Notamacropus eugenii: one gene and its partner. The protein of the gene in region 2 interacts with the protein of the main gene of each other region in a biochemical or structural test. Links are inferred from orthologs where the notes say so. Each region holds a gene or a part of one and is shown on either strand. Other genes may lie near its edges.

Region 1 (7,999 bases), on a different chromosome or scaffold from region 2:
CACATCAAACTGATCTCTCAAAGTGACATTAAAAAATGCAATAGCTCAGTTACACTAAGTAAGCCCAGGGTACCTATCTCCTCCCTTGACTTCAGAGACACCACACACCCCTGATTTTCCTCCTACCTCTAATAATGCCTTCTTTGTCTTCTTTGCTGGCTCCTCTTCCCAACCCTTCAAGGTAAATTCTGTTCTTGGCCCTCTTCTCTCACCTTTGGCAATTTTAATCACTCATGGCTTAAGCTATCACCTCTACAAGACCGATCCCCAAATCCATATCTCCAGCCCTGGTATCTCTTCCTTAACTATATCTACAACTACACAAATAGCTCTGCATCTGCCTATCAGACCAAAATTTCCAATTCAATGATTTTTAGTTAAATCTAAGTTCATTTATGTAGCAGAAACAGATTTAAAGTCAAAGGAATCAGGTTTGAATCTGTGCTGGCCTGTTTTCTGTGAAACTCTGCGCAAGACATTTGACTTAACTGTATCTGTTTCCTTATCAGTAAAACGAGACTTGAACTAAATGATTTCTAAGGTCCTTTCAGCTGTAAATCCCATGATCCTATCTTCCCCCCCAAACCTGTAGATTTCACTAAATCTGTCAATGTCATTCATACAGTCTCCCGTATTCAAAATTAGAATTCCTTTTTATCACCTGTCATATCCAATCAGTAAACAAGTGCTACTGACTTTTACATCTATACCTTTTCTTTCAACAATGCCCTCCTCTTTATTGCCATTACTTCCCTCAATACAGATTGTTCTCCCACTTCCAGCCATCTATCCTCCTACTACTACAGACCAGTCTTCTACTGGTCACTACTCTGCTCAAAAATTTTTAGTGGCTCCCTAAAACCTCTGCCTGGAATTCAAGGATTTCTACAGTTTGGAAACAACCTATCTTTCCAATCTAATCTCACTGCATTACCTTCTGTGTACTCTAGTCTCCAGCAAAACTAGACTGCTAGCTATCACAGCTCTACATATTTGCTCACCCTATCCCATAGGCCTCTAAGTTCAACTACTGGAATGACTACTTATTTTTAAAACCCAACACCCGCCTTCACTTACTGTCACCCTCCAGCAATAACACATTCACATAGCACTTTGTTTTGAACTTCTCATGCACTCTTCATATATAATTTGTATATTATTTCATATAATATCCGCATGCATGTCATATCCCCCTGGAAGCTCCATGAAATCAGGAACCATGTCTTTTCTAAACTTTGTATCTCCCCCAACACCTACCTACTAACATGTTACTCTGAACATTGTGGATATTTAATAATTATTTATTCAGTTGTTATCCCTCCTTATTAATATAGATTAGTTGTGCATCCCAGGTGTGTCATTTTTTTCCCCATTCCCCTCCACTGGAGTACAGGTGTGTATATGTCTGTATTCTCAGCTATCAAAGCAAAGATATGTGATCCCAAGCTGTCAACAGCTCTACTAGTATGTGCGTATGTGTGTGTGTATACACACACATATATACATATATATGTATACATATAAAGTTGTCAGTAAAACATATGTATGTGTGAATGTCCCAGGGCACTGGGAAATGTCTGTGGGTGTGTATGCATTTCCTGATGCTGTCAGCATTATTTAGACAGGGATGCAGCTAGGAGTAGGATATATCTCTTAGAATATGTATTTCATATATATATATGTATATAGAGAGAGCAAGAGAGATACACACATACATACATATATCACACACCAGTATAAAAGTGTGTGTGTGTTTTCATGATATTCTCACCAGTGAAGATATAAGATTTGTAGGTGGGTATCCTGGGGCTGTTGACAGTACAGGTAGGACTCTGGGTGGGAATATCCTGAGGTTCTCATCAGTACTAATACAGTACTAAAACATATGTGTCTGTCTCCTGGAGCTCTCACATCAGTACCAGGAAGAATGTGTGTTGTGGATGTGCTGCAATCCCGTGTCAACATAAGACTAATGACAGTGTGGCCAGTACATATTAGAGGAGTATATATGCCTGTCTCCTAAGGCTCTCTCCATTAGGAATATGTGTGTGTATGTATTTATATATGTAGTGTGTGTGTGTATGTGTGTGGGCATATGTATCCCAGAATGGGTGTATATTGGGAATGGGGTGGGGGTAGTTTCTGGGGTCCAAGAGAGGCTGAGAGCTATGCACGTGTCCCAGAGTTCTCTCCAGTAAAGAGGTGAGTGTGTGGGAGGGTATGGGAGAGAGGAGTGTTCCGGGGCCCTCACTAGTACAGGGGTAGAGAGTGTGTACCTGAGTGTGTGTGTCTGTGTGTGAGGGTGCGTGTCCCGGGGCTCTGGTGGAGGTATGAGTACATGTCCCGGGGTTCTCACCACTACGGTGGGAGTGGGGGTGTGGGGTGTGGGGGTGTGTCCCGGGGCTCTCACCAGTACAGGTGGCCGCACATACTGACCACCGCCTCCCGCGCTGTCTCCAGACAGATGTTACACTCGAAGGCCGCACCTGCCCCTCCCCGGTCGCGGTTTGGCCCTTCGGAGCCCCCGTCCTCCTTCCTGGCCGCTGCCATGGCCCCTCAACTGTTGCCCCCGCAACCCAGGTCTTCCCCCACGAAACACATACACAAGCCCCGATGGTCCGAAAAGCCCGCCCCCCTGCTCGCGCCCATTGGTCATCCGTCAAGGTCTTCGAGACTCCATTGGTGATCCTGCCCACCAGTCACCTAGGGTTCGGAAGGAAAGGATTGGACGACAGTCTGGGGAGGGAGAGGCACGTATTGCCCCGCCCTTGAACAGTGATTATTGGCCAAGGTAGTCGCCAGTCAAGAGGCTGCGTCATAGGATTAGCCGTAAAACGCGCCCTGGCAGACCCCATTGTCCGCGGTGAAGGAGGGTCCACCCTGTCATCACCATTATTTGTCCCCCATTGCTAAGTGTCGTGCTGAACTGGCTCCAGGACGTAGATTCTACCTACTAATAACCTATCCAACTTCCGCCCCCGTCCTTTCTTCACTTCCTCTTCTCTTGAAAAGGATCCTCCTCGAGATCCTATTGGACTAGGAACGCGCAAGTTCCGAAGCAGCCGGTTGGCTAGGAGATGGTCGCAAGCGCGCACGTGAGGGATAGGACGGACCTATCCGGAGGAGGCTTTGCTTCTCGGGACCCGCCCCTTCCTCGCCGTCTTCTTGTCGCTATAGCTCCCGGATCGCAATTGGTCCTGACTTGGCCACCACCCTAGCCTTAAGTTCCTTCCCCCCTCGTCCCTTGCACCCAACCCTCGAATTTGATTGGTTACTCTAGACCTCGAAGATTAGGATTGGGAGCAAAGAGACATATGCTAGTCACCGGGTTCAAAATGGCTTCCGCCGTTTCGGTGACGTAAGAAACCGAATCTGAGTTCGCCCGGCGCCCTTTACAAAGATGTCGGGCCAGGAGAAGGGCGATTGGCCCCATGTCCGTGACGTCACAGATCCATCTCCTGGCTTATAACCCCCTTCCCTCCCCACCCCCATCCCACGAGCGCACACGCACTCGGTCCCCTTTAGTCTTAGCCGACCCACGGAGCGGAACTCGACTCTCCAGGTTCCTTTCTTCGATGACGCACAGAGCAGAAATGAATTTCGCTCCAGTTCAACTTGTGTGCTGCCGTGGAAAAAGAGAGCCGAATTTGGAGTGAGAGAACCTGGGTTCAAACCCTAGCCCAGGCTCTGACTGTTTGGGTGAGCCCAGGAGTCACTGGACTTCCCCCAGATCCAATGTCGTCGTCAGCTGTGGAAAGAGGGGCTGGACGGTCTTGTCTCCATCATGCTTTGGATGATCTCCAAGGTCCTGTCTAGTTGCGATACTCTTACTGTTTCTGCCATGATCTGCAGGGCTAGAATTAGACCCGCCCCTTCCTCCCTGTGACCTACCAAGCAGAACTGGGGTCTTCTTCCTGGGCAGGGTGCCCTTCCCCTACCTGCTCCGGCTCAGCGTGGCCCAGGTGCCTGGTGCAGGCAGCCAGGCTTGGGCAAGTGAGTCTCCCTCCTCCTTGTGGCCCAAGCACAGCAACCTGGTAATAGCCCACCCTTTCTCCCCCTGCTCTCACCCATCCCATCTCCAGTCTCTCTCCTCCAACCCTGGCTTGAAGGCGTAGCCAGTGAGAGACTTAGGTTAATTGTGTGTGTGTGTGTTGGGGGGGGGTGTTGGAGGGATGGAGAGGGAGAGGCAGTAGAGAAGCTTGTGATCTCCACCCAGCTGTTGTCTCCCTAGGCATCAGTTTCCTTGGGTCTTTGTAAAATGAGGGTAGGTGGTCTCCAAGGCTGCCTCCAGCTCCGACATTCTATGTTCTATGGTTCTATGGGAGAGAGGACACAGACCAGACAGGGGCCCTCAGAGGGAAACCAAGACAGCTGGGGGCAAGAATCCAGGAGAACCACAACATCTGGAGGGAACTGGAAAGTAAAAAGAAAGCAGGAAAGGGCTATCCCCAAGTTGATGGAGCTGGTTAGTTGAAGGTAGGGCTCTTATCAGAGAGGGAGAAAACAGGGCCAGGAGACACATCAAGGAAAAGAAGGGAAGGTGGTGGCAGTGTTTTTTGAAAGAGATAGAAAGGAGAGTTGAGTGAAAGGGATGAGGCTGAGGCAGTAGAGGAGTGCCAAGTGGGATGAAATAAGTGTGGGAAGCCAGGGCTAGGGATGTAGTTGAGCTTCCAGAAAACAAGTGTTAGAAACTGGGAATGACAACCTTAAGGAGTTAGTGTCGGCTCCCCATTCCACCCCAAGCTGCATGGTCTGCCCATAGAAGGAAGGAATAATGGTGACCTGATCTCAGTGGTGGAGAAAGCATATACAATTCATCTTTGGGATGACAGGGCAGCCTGGCTAAAGAAGAGAGACCCTGTGGGAAAGGTGCTAGGAAGGGAAGAGAGAAGAGAATTGGGGAATTAAGAAAAGGAGGAGGTCGGCAAGGAAGGTAGAAGGATCAGAGAAGAGGGCAAGATGAAGGAAGGGGAGGACCTGGCTAGTGTTCTGAGAGACCATAGTGAGATAATGGGGAGTAGGGAAGAGGTCAGCCACGAGACAGGGAAAAGATTAGGAGGCACAAAGAGAGATAAGGATGGGAGAGGCCAAGATGAAGTTGAAAGGGCGAGGCAGCTAATAAAAAAGGATGATGAGTAGTGAGAAGCAGAGGAATGGAAGAATTGGGAAAGAGAAAAGGGAGCCTAAAGGACAGAGAGAAGAAAGCTGAGAGAAGTGGAAGGAGGGAGATAGAAGAGCAGGGAAAGCCGGGAAGGACTGGAACCAGAGCCAGAAAAAAAACAGGTTATGAAAGATAGACAGCTGGAAGGAGTAAGGCAGAAGCCTCAGCAGGAGGAGCTAGCAGGAAAAAGATGAGGCAGGGAGGGCTAAAAGCTGGAGGGAGGGAATGCTTGGGTCCCTGTCCAGGCTATTGGCAAGACAGCCCGCCTGTCACCACCCCCCACTTCCTGGCCGGCCCCGGAAACAAGCAGGCGTTGGTGGGGAGGGGGGGGCGGCAGCAGCAGCAGCTTCGGCAGCCCCAGCCCTCCGAGAGAGAGACAGCAGTAAGGGAGGGAGGGAGAGAGCGGGGAACACCCCCCCTCCCACCATTCTCACCACTATGGGTCCGGCCCCCCACTCCCACAGCCCCTCCACCAGCCGGGGCTAGGACACCCCCAAACCCTGAGGGCCCCCTGGCACCGACTCCCCACCAGAGACAGAGACACAGCCGCCACCACCGCTGCCGCAGCCTGGCTGGGGAGGGGGCCGGCCCCCTAGGCCCCCTACCCCACTGAGGTGGGGGAGGGATGGAACTGGGGAAGGGGGGTGAGAGATGGGTCGGGGGAGGAGGGAGCTGGGAGGTCATGGAGGTGGAGAATGGGGTCTGGGGAGAGAGAGTGTAAGGTAGACTTGGGAGAGGAGCCGCTGGGAAAGATGGAGAGAATCCAGACAGAGAGAAAAGGGATGGAGGAGGGAGGGGCTGAGGCCTGGTGAGTGGGGGGCTGGCCTAATTAAGGGGATAGTGATGGGGATAGTGATGGGGTGAGTGAGGATGAGGAGTACTGGTGAGGGGAGAGAGGAATTCGCTACACCCCACCCCCAGTTCCTCTTTCTGCCCCTTGTATCTCTTGGAAGGAGTGTAGATTATAAACTACATTCCTGACTCCTCCTCCAAGAGAATATTGGTTGCTAGGATCATACCAGGACACCCCTCTATTTCCATGCACAGAGCCTAAGGTCTCTACATATCCTGTGTGCATGTTAGGCCCTTCCTGACACACGTGTGTCTTGTGTGTTACCTTGTTTTCTCCATTGAGTGTGCATGCTTTAGACAGTGGGCTGTGTTGGTTGAATATGTTCCCATATGATCCATGGTCATGGCAAATGTCCTCACATTAGCTGGATGTTGTATCCATTCCCCTTTGGGAAGGCTGGCTATAGTGCAATATGGCCTGTCCCTTGTGTCATATCCATTTGGAGTATAATGTACATACCCTACGCATCTGTATGTTCAAATGTTGCCTACTTTCTCAGATCTTTCTGTTGCATATTAGTTGTGTGTTTCTGTTCATGTGCTTTGCCAGTGATCGTCACTGCCAAGGTAGTTGTCTTCACATGTTCTGTTTGTACGCTGTGCCTATGGTGTTTTGTTTTGGTTCATTTGCTGAATCTGTGATTCTTGTCCCTTGGGGTTGCCTTCAGGTAGCTGATTCCATGATTTTATTTATTCTTAACACAGATCTTCATGGTGTATTAATCCACTTTACTGCATGTGTTTTGCTAAGGAAGTCCTAGCATTGCTTGAGCACTTATGTCTTATGTTCTACTGGCATTGCATTTCTGTTCATATAACATCTATTTCACCATTTCCTTCCTGTAATGTTTTATAAATCACATGTTTATGTAACACATCTGGCAATCTCATATGGTTGGATATCCTCTGGATATCCTTAGATATGTGTGTTCCTGAGGAAATCACATATACATAGCCCCTGTAGAGGGTAACGGACCTCCAGACACACAGAAAACCCATAGCATTTGCATATATATTTGCATGTCCTTCCTATGTTTGGCCTGGCCCATATGTCTATGTAACATCCATAGTACCGCTATATTTTGTCACTGTGTACTCATATGACATGTGAATGAGTACATGTGTTACAGGCTCTCATCTATGTCCATGTTTTTATTAATGTTGAACGTTCATCCCACAGCTTCCATCATTTGCATGACTAATGATTTGGCATGTTATTTTCACCCCAGGCATGTTACCACCACTCTGTATGTTTCTTCACTGCATTTTTGTGTTATCTGCATATGATTTACATTCACTGTATTCATTTCTTTATTATGTCATTATCCTTCTGCCTCTTCACGTTATTGAATTTTCCCCTGTACACTTTCCCATTCCCTTTCCAGCGGTCATGACATCCCCATGATTTCTGTGTTCCTGCCAACAGCATAGCATGTTGGGCATGTGCTTGGAGTACATCATATTTCTTGTGAGAAGCAGTATCCCTGGGGCTACACTGTATTAAATACCTATTGTTTTTGTTATCAACAGCGTGAGCATGTCTTCATTCTTGTCTTCTTCACGTGGGTGTGTGTGTGTGTATGTGTATGTGAGAGTTCAGAGGATTGTTACACATGGGGGTTGACTTCTGTTAACACCATCATTTCTTCACTTCCAAGGTCTACTTACTCTCTGACCTGTTTATCACCACCCTGCCCTCTACTTGTTCTCTCCATTTGTGTTTACCTTTTAAGTATCTATTTCATATGGCCTCAATCAGATGTGCTGCTATCATACTTGACTCAATTAAGCAAATACGTATTGTGTGCTTAGTATTATTACCATCCTGTGCATGAGATCTTCATGTTTCAGGGAAGGAAAGAGGGGTAGGTAATGTACTGTAAGCATCTTGTGTATGTTCCTGTTCACAGATGGCTTCTCTGCCAGGCCACTTGAAAATGTGTATGTGTTTGTCACATGTTTTTTCCTTGTGATGTTATCACACTT
Region 2 (7,868 bases):
AAGTGTCTGAGGCCAGATTTGAACTCAGGAAGATGATCCTGCCTGATTCCAGGCCCTGTGTTCTATCCACTGCACCACCCAGCTGCCAGGCCAGGCAGCTTAACAGACACTTGTGGAATGAATAGAAAGACAGACAGAAGGATGTAATAGACAAGATGTTCAATAGAAATGATAGAGAGGATAAACAGATAGAATAAACACATACACACACACACATGTGGAGGTGGAGAGAGAGCAGATGAGAGGGTGAGAAGGGAGGAAAGGTGCTGAGGCATAGACACACCAAGGCTGGGGGAGGTGCTCAGTGACCTCCCAGTGCAAGAAGACAAAAGGAAGGGCACTCACGGGCCTGGTTAGATGCATAGACATTAGCAATGACATCAGCGAGGTCCGTCAGCTCGCATTCCTTCAGGGCTGTGATGAGACAGGTCACCCAGCCATTGCGCTTACGAAGGTGATCAAAGAGCTTCCACACACTGTCACGGTTTCCATGACGGTCAATGTAGGCACGGAGCTGGTCCTGGAAGAGAAAGTTGTGACCATGGCTTCAGAGAGCTCACCTCCCAAGCTAGGACTGTGGCAGCCTCTGAGCCCCCAGAGAGGAGAAAGAAGGGATTGACACACTATGAAGAGCTTCTGTAGCTAGGGTACAAGTCTGGGATAGGCTAGGGCAGGGGCCTTGAGAGCAAGGGTAAGGGAGCAGGGGAGAGGATGCAGGTGTCCCAGAGGGTGTGAGTATCCTCTGCATCTAGCTGATAAGGGGAGAGGAGGAGAGGAAGCTTCAGGGTGAAAACTGCCTCTGCTATATCACCTACTTGGTCAGCAACGGTGAGGCAGGGCAGGTGGGACAGGATCTCCAAGACATCAATGCGGAAGAAGTCACTGAGGTGGAAGCGAATGTACTGCTCAGTTCGGTCCTCAGCCAGAGGCATGGTCACTCAGGGCCTGAAGGGGAAAGGAATGAGTCTGTGGTGTGAAGAATGTGGAGGCAGAAGGACTGGGGCTGACTCCTGGCCCTGCCACTCATTATCTGTGTGACCTTGGGGAAGTTCATTCTCTTTTCCCTCTCAGGGAGATGTGGTAGGGGTGGGAACCTGAATAACATGAGCTAAGTTCCTTTCAGTTTCTAAAGTGAGTGAGGACAGCGTACTGGCCCAGCAATGGCCATCAAGTAGAGCGCCAGCAGAGATGGAGAATTCTTCAGAAGATGGAGGAAAAATCAGTGGGGCCATAGAACCACGGAGGCTTCTTGCATTTGGAAAGATGGAGGGAGAAAGGAAGGCTTGCGACTGTCATCTGACAGACACCGGTGGGGCAGCCAAACCCAGGCTCCCCCTTTTCAATGAGCAAGGGTGATCAGGGAGACTGGTTTTCTCTTCTCCTGAGGACTTTCCATAATCCAATGCAGTCCAAGTTGGTTGGGAAGTCTGGTTTGGAGGCAGAGGGATGGACCAAATGACCTCTGATCCCTTTCAAACCAATTACAGAATGTCGGAGTTGGAAGGAACCTCAGAGGCCATCTAGTCCAACCAACACCTGAATAAGAATCTGGACAAGGTGTCACCCGGCCTTCCCTTGGAGACTCTCTGTAGAGGAGAACCCATGACAGCCTGAGGAGGCAGCTCTGTTAGCATGGTTTTCCTGACATCAGATCTAAAAACGCTTCTTGGTAACGTCTGCCCATCCTTCTGAGTTCTTCCTTCTGGGGTCCATAGACAGTGTCTGCCAAGTCTCCTCTTTACAGCACAGACCCTGTTCCTGTGCCATGATCTTGAGGCTATCACATCTTGGTCACCCTCCCTGTTCCACCCTCCTTCCTAAAGTACAGCCTGCAGCCCACACAATACTGCCCCAGTGCTCTCTTGGAGAACACAGCTTTCCTAGCTGATGTACCCCATATAGTTATCAATGAAACTTTTGCCCAGCCATTCCTCTTCTTGTCTCGGTGCTTTTTGAGCCCAGGTGTAAAACATCATTTATCCTTAGGAGGTCTAACGTTCCAGTCCATGCCCATCCCTTCCAGCATTGTGTCACCTGCAAGTCTGATGCAAAATCTATCCCTTCATCACAGCACAGGATCGAGCGAAGATCCGGTGGCCTGGAGCACTGGTGACCTCCCTCCCCTCTCCCACCGGGCCATTAATGACTATCCTTTGTGCCGGACCACTTCACTAGTTCTGAATTCACTTCACCCGACCATCATTTAATCCATGGCTCCCTTTCCAAGAATGGCATGAGAGAATTGGGCAAATGTTGTGATTCAGCGGCAGTACAATGCACCATTAGAGCTTCACTCCTTTGGGAGTAAAGTCTTATCTCCAGAAGGTCCTAGTTACCTCAGCACAGAAGGGCACTTCTGATGGCTCCAGCAGCGAGCACTGCCACCTAAGGACGGAGAGAAGGGGATATTGGGGAGGGGGCCCGGGGTGTCAGGGTTGGGAGAGCCCTTCTGGGGCCCCTCTGCTCCCGGCCTGACCCTGCCCCGGGGCGGAGGGGGGTGCCCTTCCCCCACGAGGTCTCGGCATCTGTGGGCACCTGGTCAGAGTCACCAGGCTACGGCCCCAAACAAACACTCCTGTCCTCGGCCCCTGCCCAGGTCACGGCTCGGACCGCGGGCAGGTGCCCGGTCTGGGCCACGTGGACCAGCCGCCCCCCTCCCCCCCCCCCCCCCCCCCGCCCTCCCTCCAGCCTCAGTCCCCTCCTCTCCCACCTGCTGCACTCCGAGGCTGCCCCTCCCCTCCCCCGCCCAAGGACCACGGTCAAGGGCAGACGAGCCGCGCACCGGCCCTACCCCCAAGGCCCGCTCCTCCCCCTCCTTTCTCCCCTGCCCTTGACCTCCAGGGCGGCCCGGAGGGGGTCCCCGAGACGCCGCCCCGCCTACCTGCGGGCAGAGCCCCGCTCAGCTCCGCTCCGGTCCGGTCCAGCCGAGGCTGGCGACGGCTCTGGCGCAGCGGCCCAGGCTCTGAGGCTGCCCCGGGAAAAGGCGGAGGCGCCCGCAGCGCCCGAGCGGAGCCGAGCACGGGGGCGGCAGGCGGGGGCAGGACCAGGCCCAGGCTCGCGCCCGCCCTCGCGGCGCCCGCCTATTGGCCGGCGGGGCGAGGGGGCGGGGCCTGGAGCGAGAGGGGGGAGGGGAGGGAGGGGAGGGGAAAGAGGGAGGAAAGGGTGGGAGGAGAGAGGGGAAGGAAGGAAGGAGGCCGGGGAAAGGAGGGAGAGGGTCGGGGGAAGGGGGGGTCGGGGGAAGGAGGGAGGGGGTCGGGGAAGGAGGGAGGGGGTCGGGGGAGAGGACTGCAATGATTTGACCAAATTTGACAGGAAAAGGAGTCAACAGGCCCTGCCAGGCGCCATCCGGCGCGTCTCGGGGCAACAAGTTACCCCAAAAACGGACAGAGGAGGAAGGCCAAGTACTGCGGGGGGAGCGGGGAGCCGTCGCCCAGGGAGGGGGGTCCTTGGCCACAGCACAGGCCATGGGGGGAGGGGAGTCGCTCTTCAGGGGCTGTCCCCGTGCTCCCGTCCTCCGACTGCTCTCTAACTGTCCCGGGGAGGAAGGCAGGCCAGGTCGCCTCTGCTCCTTCGGTGCGGAGGGCGTGTCCAGCCCTGGCTGGTGGGAGGAGGAGGAGAAGAGCCCGGGCCCCGCCAGCCGGGTCTGCACCCCGCTGTCCCCCTCCGAAGGCGGGCCGAGGCACAGGCAGGCGCCTTATTCCGCGTCCGTGGAATGAAGGAGTGAATCCCGCCCCAGCGCACGTTCTAAACCGACGAGCACTGGAGAACGCAGAGCCAGGGTCCGAGGTCGCCCGCGAAGGTGCCCCGGTGCTCCTAGGTGGCGCTAGAGGGCCTTGCGCTGGAGACGCGAGAGCACCTGGATCCTCAGACCCGGGGCAAGGCACCGGCCCTCGGCCTCGGTCCCCCTAAGCACCCCGGCCCCCACTTCCCAGGCTGATGTGAGGATCAAAGGAGACAGTATTCCTGAAAGCGCTTAGCAGTGCCGGGCACACGGAGGAGAAACGGGAAACGCTTGTTTCTTTTCCCTTCTTCCCTTACAAGTGGCCTAGGATCGAGCTCAGTTCTCAAATTTCTCGGTCTCAGGATATATTTACTTTTAAAAATTGCCGAGGACCCAAAAGTTTTGTTAAGGTGGGTTGTATCTATTGATATTGACCATACTGGAAAGCGAATACATTTTTGAAAGTCACTTAAAAGTAACATAGTAACTATTTTCCAAAACAGGACCTGTCTGGTGAGTATTGTTTTACCGATTGTTGTGAGGCTCTTGAACGTCTGGCTGAATAGTTGGGGTCTTGTTTCTGCATCATCTGATCTGCTGTGACATGTTGTAAGAAGAGAATCTAGCCTCACGCAGAGGCGTTGGGCAAGAAGTACAGTAGGCAAAGGAGGTTTAGGATAAAAATCCAAGGGCCACATGGACAACCAAATTCATTTTACAGATGAGGAAACTGAGGCAAACAAGGTGAGGTGACTTGCCCAGAGCCACACAGCTAGGGACTGGGTTTGAACTCAGGGGCATGAGTCTTCCTGACACCAGGTCGCTGACCAGTTACTCAAACCCAGATCCTCCATGTAAGTTATGGCTTTTTCACACTACATTATGCATTAGGAAAAGACTACTTGGAGTGATGAAGAATCCAGCTGGAGAAGGGAGGAAGAAGGCCTGCCTCTGGGCTCCATGCTGTGGAGCGTGGGGGAGGCCAATCTGGGGCCTCCCTCAGGTTATTTTGTACAATCTCTTTACTTTCTAGAAGAAACTGGAAACCAGGGTGGGAAAGTGCTGGGTAACCGCATAGCTTATTCCTTGGCCCACTGTCAGTGTCCTCCCTGGGCTTCCCTAGATGACAAGCCCAGGTACAAGCATGCTGCTCCCCTGCTCCAACACCAAGGGCTCTCCGTAATTGTGTGGCCCAAACACTGGCTCCCCTGTTTGGCACTACAGGCCCTTCACAATCTGGCTCTGGTCATTCACTGACCAAGAATGGACTTAGCAGTTAGTAATAATAGTAGATGACATTTCATCCACCACTAAGTTTGCACTGAGTTCTGTGCCAGTCACTGAGGATTCAGACAGACAGGCCTCAAGGGCAGTCTTCCTGCAATATTCTGGGGAAGGACCCAGGGACTTTCTGTAGAAGGTGTTGCATGAACTGTGCAAGGCTGAGGAGAGGGCAGAGGACATGCTGGGCCTGAAGGATGGAAAGCTAGTCCAAAGACAAGCAGATGTCATGCCATCAACCAAAAGAACCAGCAAGACAGTCTGGTTGAAAAGTAGAATCACGTTCAATAAATCTGGACAGCTAAAACACAAACAAGAAAAGCATTTTTTTATTCTCTATTAAGAGGAGACACTTGACTTTATTCAGCAGGACAACAACAGAGCCGGACCTTCGCCTTAGGAACACTGCTCCCCAAAGAGTATGGAGGCTAGGCTAGAGGGGAGGGAGGCTGGAAGACCAATTAGGAGGCTAGTGCAATAGTTCAGAGAAGAGTAATGAGGAACTAAATTGGGGAGTGGAATAGAAAGAAACATGCAAAAGATTTGGGACCAGATTTGATGTGGAGGTGGAGATGAGGAAACAGGTCACACAGCTAAGCACGTGTTTCAAATTCAGGTCTTTCTGAATCCCCATCCAGTGCTCCATCCACTCCCCACAAGATTTAGCTAAGTTAGGAAGAGGTGGGCCTTGAGATCTAATAAATGACTTTGTTTTGGACATTTTGTGCTGGAGCTATCTCAAGGCCACCTATGCACTTGGAGAAGTTCACAAAAGAGGTGATGTGGGGCTTGTGCAGCTGGGGCTGTACACAGAGGTGAGAGTTCAGTCTGGAGAGCCAAGGACATCAAGTAAAGAGAGGGCCTTGGGGTGGACACTGAGGAGTGACCGGGCTGAAAGCAGCCTTCCTTAGCTGGCACACACAATTCATCTACCCCCTCTGGACCTTTGTACAAACCACCCCTCATGCCTGGAATGCAATCTCTTCCTCCCCTCCACCTCTTGGGATCCCCAGCCCCCTTCAGAGCCCAGAATGGCATTTCAGGAAAAGCCCCAGCCTGGCTACACCTCACTTCCTCCTCTCACCATGAATATGTTCCTCCTTTGCTGAACCTCTGAAGTTCTGGAGCCATGAATTACCATCAAATCAATTCGGCCACCCTTCCAGACACTGCTTTGTTTCTGCATTTATAGCTCAGCTACTCACACAGTAAGTGCTTGCTTTGGGGCAGCTAGGTGGCACAGTGAATACAGTACCAGTCTCACCTCAGACACTTGACACTCACTAGCTGTGTGACCTTGGGTAAGTCACTTAACCCCAACTGCCTCATCCTGGGTCATCTCCAGTCATCCTGATGAATGGATTCACTGGATTCAGGTGGCTCTGGAGAAGAAGTGAGGCTGGTGACCTGCACAGCCCTCCCTCACTCAAAACAAAGTCAAGTGCAAGTCATGTCATTATTTCTCTGATAGCAAGGTCTTCTTCAGCAATGAAGGACAAACACACACAAGTGCTTGCTAAATAAATTCATTCCCACCTGCCAGAGGCTTTTCTGGGCTTCGTGCTAGTAAAGGCTCTCTTGCTTTACAGACTTATCGATGCATAGGTCATTCCTCCTCAGAGGAACCTGACATGGAACCTGACACAACCAAAAAGCACTTGTTAATCAATCTCCTAAAGATCCAAAGATCCAGGTGGCGAGCTGCATCGGAGCACTTTGGGACAAAATGCTGAGCAAACCCTGTGGTTCACTTCAATTACAAGGGCTTCTTGGGCCCCTGGCCCACTCTCCACAATCTCTTCTTGGGCCTGTTGGCAATGTGGAGTGGAGTGGACCCTGCATCCTAGGCCAGGCTGGCCAGTTGAGGCCAAATGCTGGCAGATCCTGACAGGCAGGAAAGCTTCCATCCAGAAGCTCAGCTCTGGACTGTCCCTGCCAGCTGAGGACCTGCTAGAGCTAAATCTGGAGATACTCCTCATCAGACTGGCTACACAGGCACATGCTTTGGCCACTGCCCCCAAACCCTTATACTAAATGTATAGAGAGCTATGACCTGGGAGGGTAGAGGATGCATCCCCACCAATGAAATCACAGGCCTTTATGTTTGAATAGATCCCACTACTAGGAAAGCTCCCAGTGCCCAAGGCTGTCCTTGTGGTCTAAGAACTATGAAGTCTACACCTGTCACAGGCTGGCAAGTGTGAGGCAATCAACCCAGGTCTTTGGCAGCGACCCCTTCCTGTTCGATTGCAGGGAGGGACTTTGTTCTTGCTGTCTCTCCAGGGGCTCTTTACTTCTCCTGTCTTTAGCCCTTCTCCCCCCTGGTCTTAAGGAATGCTCTCTGGGGAAGGCAGCCTGGCATACACTTAAAATCACATTTCTGCCAACTCAGCAGAGTTATGGAAGCTAAAACTGCTCCCTCCTTCCCTTCAGGAGTGCAGTAAGGCTTGTGATCACTACCAGAAAGTCCAGGTCACTGGCTTGGAAGAGGAGGTCATACAAGGGTCAGAAGGACCGTGGCACGGGGGGCTACAGCAGCTCATCTTGCATTCCATCTCTGCCAGTTACCAACTCTGAATTTGGGCAAGTCAATCCACCTGTGGAAGCATCATGTGTGAAACAAAGACATAAACTGTTGAGATTTTTTTCCTCTTTTCTATGTTCTAGATCCCCAGGCCAGTCAGTCTGGGGTAGCGTTCGACTCTTTCTCAGAATGATGTTTTTAAATATATAAAACCCCCAGGGGTCACAAAGGAAATCGATTATACTAAAGCCCAGTTATAAATGTTCACAGAGCCCAGGCTAAGAACACTTGGATTTGATGATAACTCAGGTCCTAGGATCCTACACAGGCAAGAGCTTCCAG

The links.
Region 1: the proteins of MAVS (region 2) and RNF5 form a complex in vitro, tested with the Homo sapiens proteins (2 studies listed by BioGRID, with this or other methods). The link is inferred for Notamacropus eugenii from reciprocal best matches to the Homo sapiens genes MAVS and RNF5.

Annotation. Positions count from the first base shown.
Region 1 is NC_092873.1:85,920,072-85,928,070, reverse strand, and holds the start of RNF5 (E3 ubiquitin-protein ligase RNF5), read right to left. Parts: upstream 3,008-7,999; 5' UTR 2,951-3,007; intron 2,904-2,950; exon of another isoform or gene 2,704-2,903; 5' UTR 2,657-2,703; coding exon of another isoform or gene 2,604-2,656; 5' UTR 2,551-2,603; coding exon 2,411-2,550; intron 1-2,410. Other genes in the region: AGPAT1 (1-acyl-sn-glycerol-3-phosphate acyltransferase alpha), read left to right, coding at 3,736-3,805. UniProt on the Homo sapiens protein: Membrane-bound E3 ubiquitin-protein ligase that mediates ubiquitination of target proteins. May function together with E2 ubiquitin-conjugating enzymes UBE2D1/UBCH5A and UBE2D2/UBC4.
Region 2 is NC_092872.1:735,786,438-735,794,305, forward strand, and holds the start of MAVS (mitochondrial antiviral-signaling protein), read right to left. Parts: upstream 3,013-7,868; 5' UTR 2,882-3,012; intron 2,386-2,881; 5' UTR 2,337-2,385; intron 946-2,336; 5' UTR 933-945; coding exon 816-932; intron 521-815; coding exon 346-520; intron 1-345.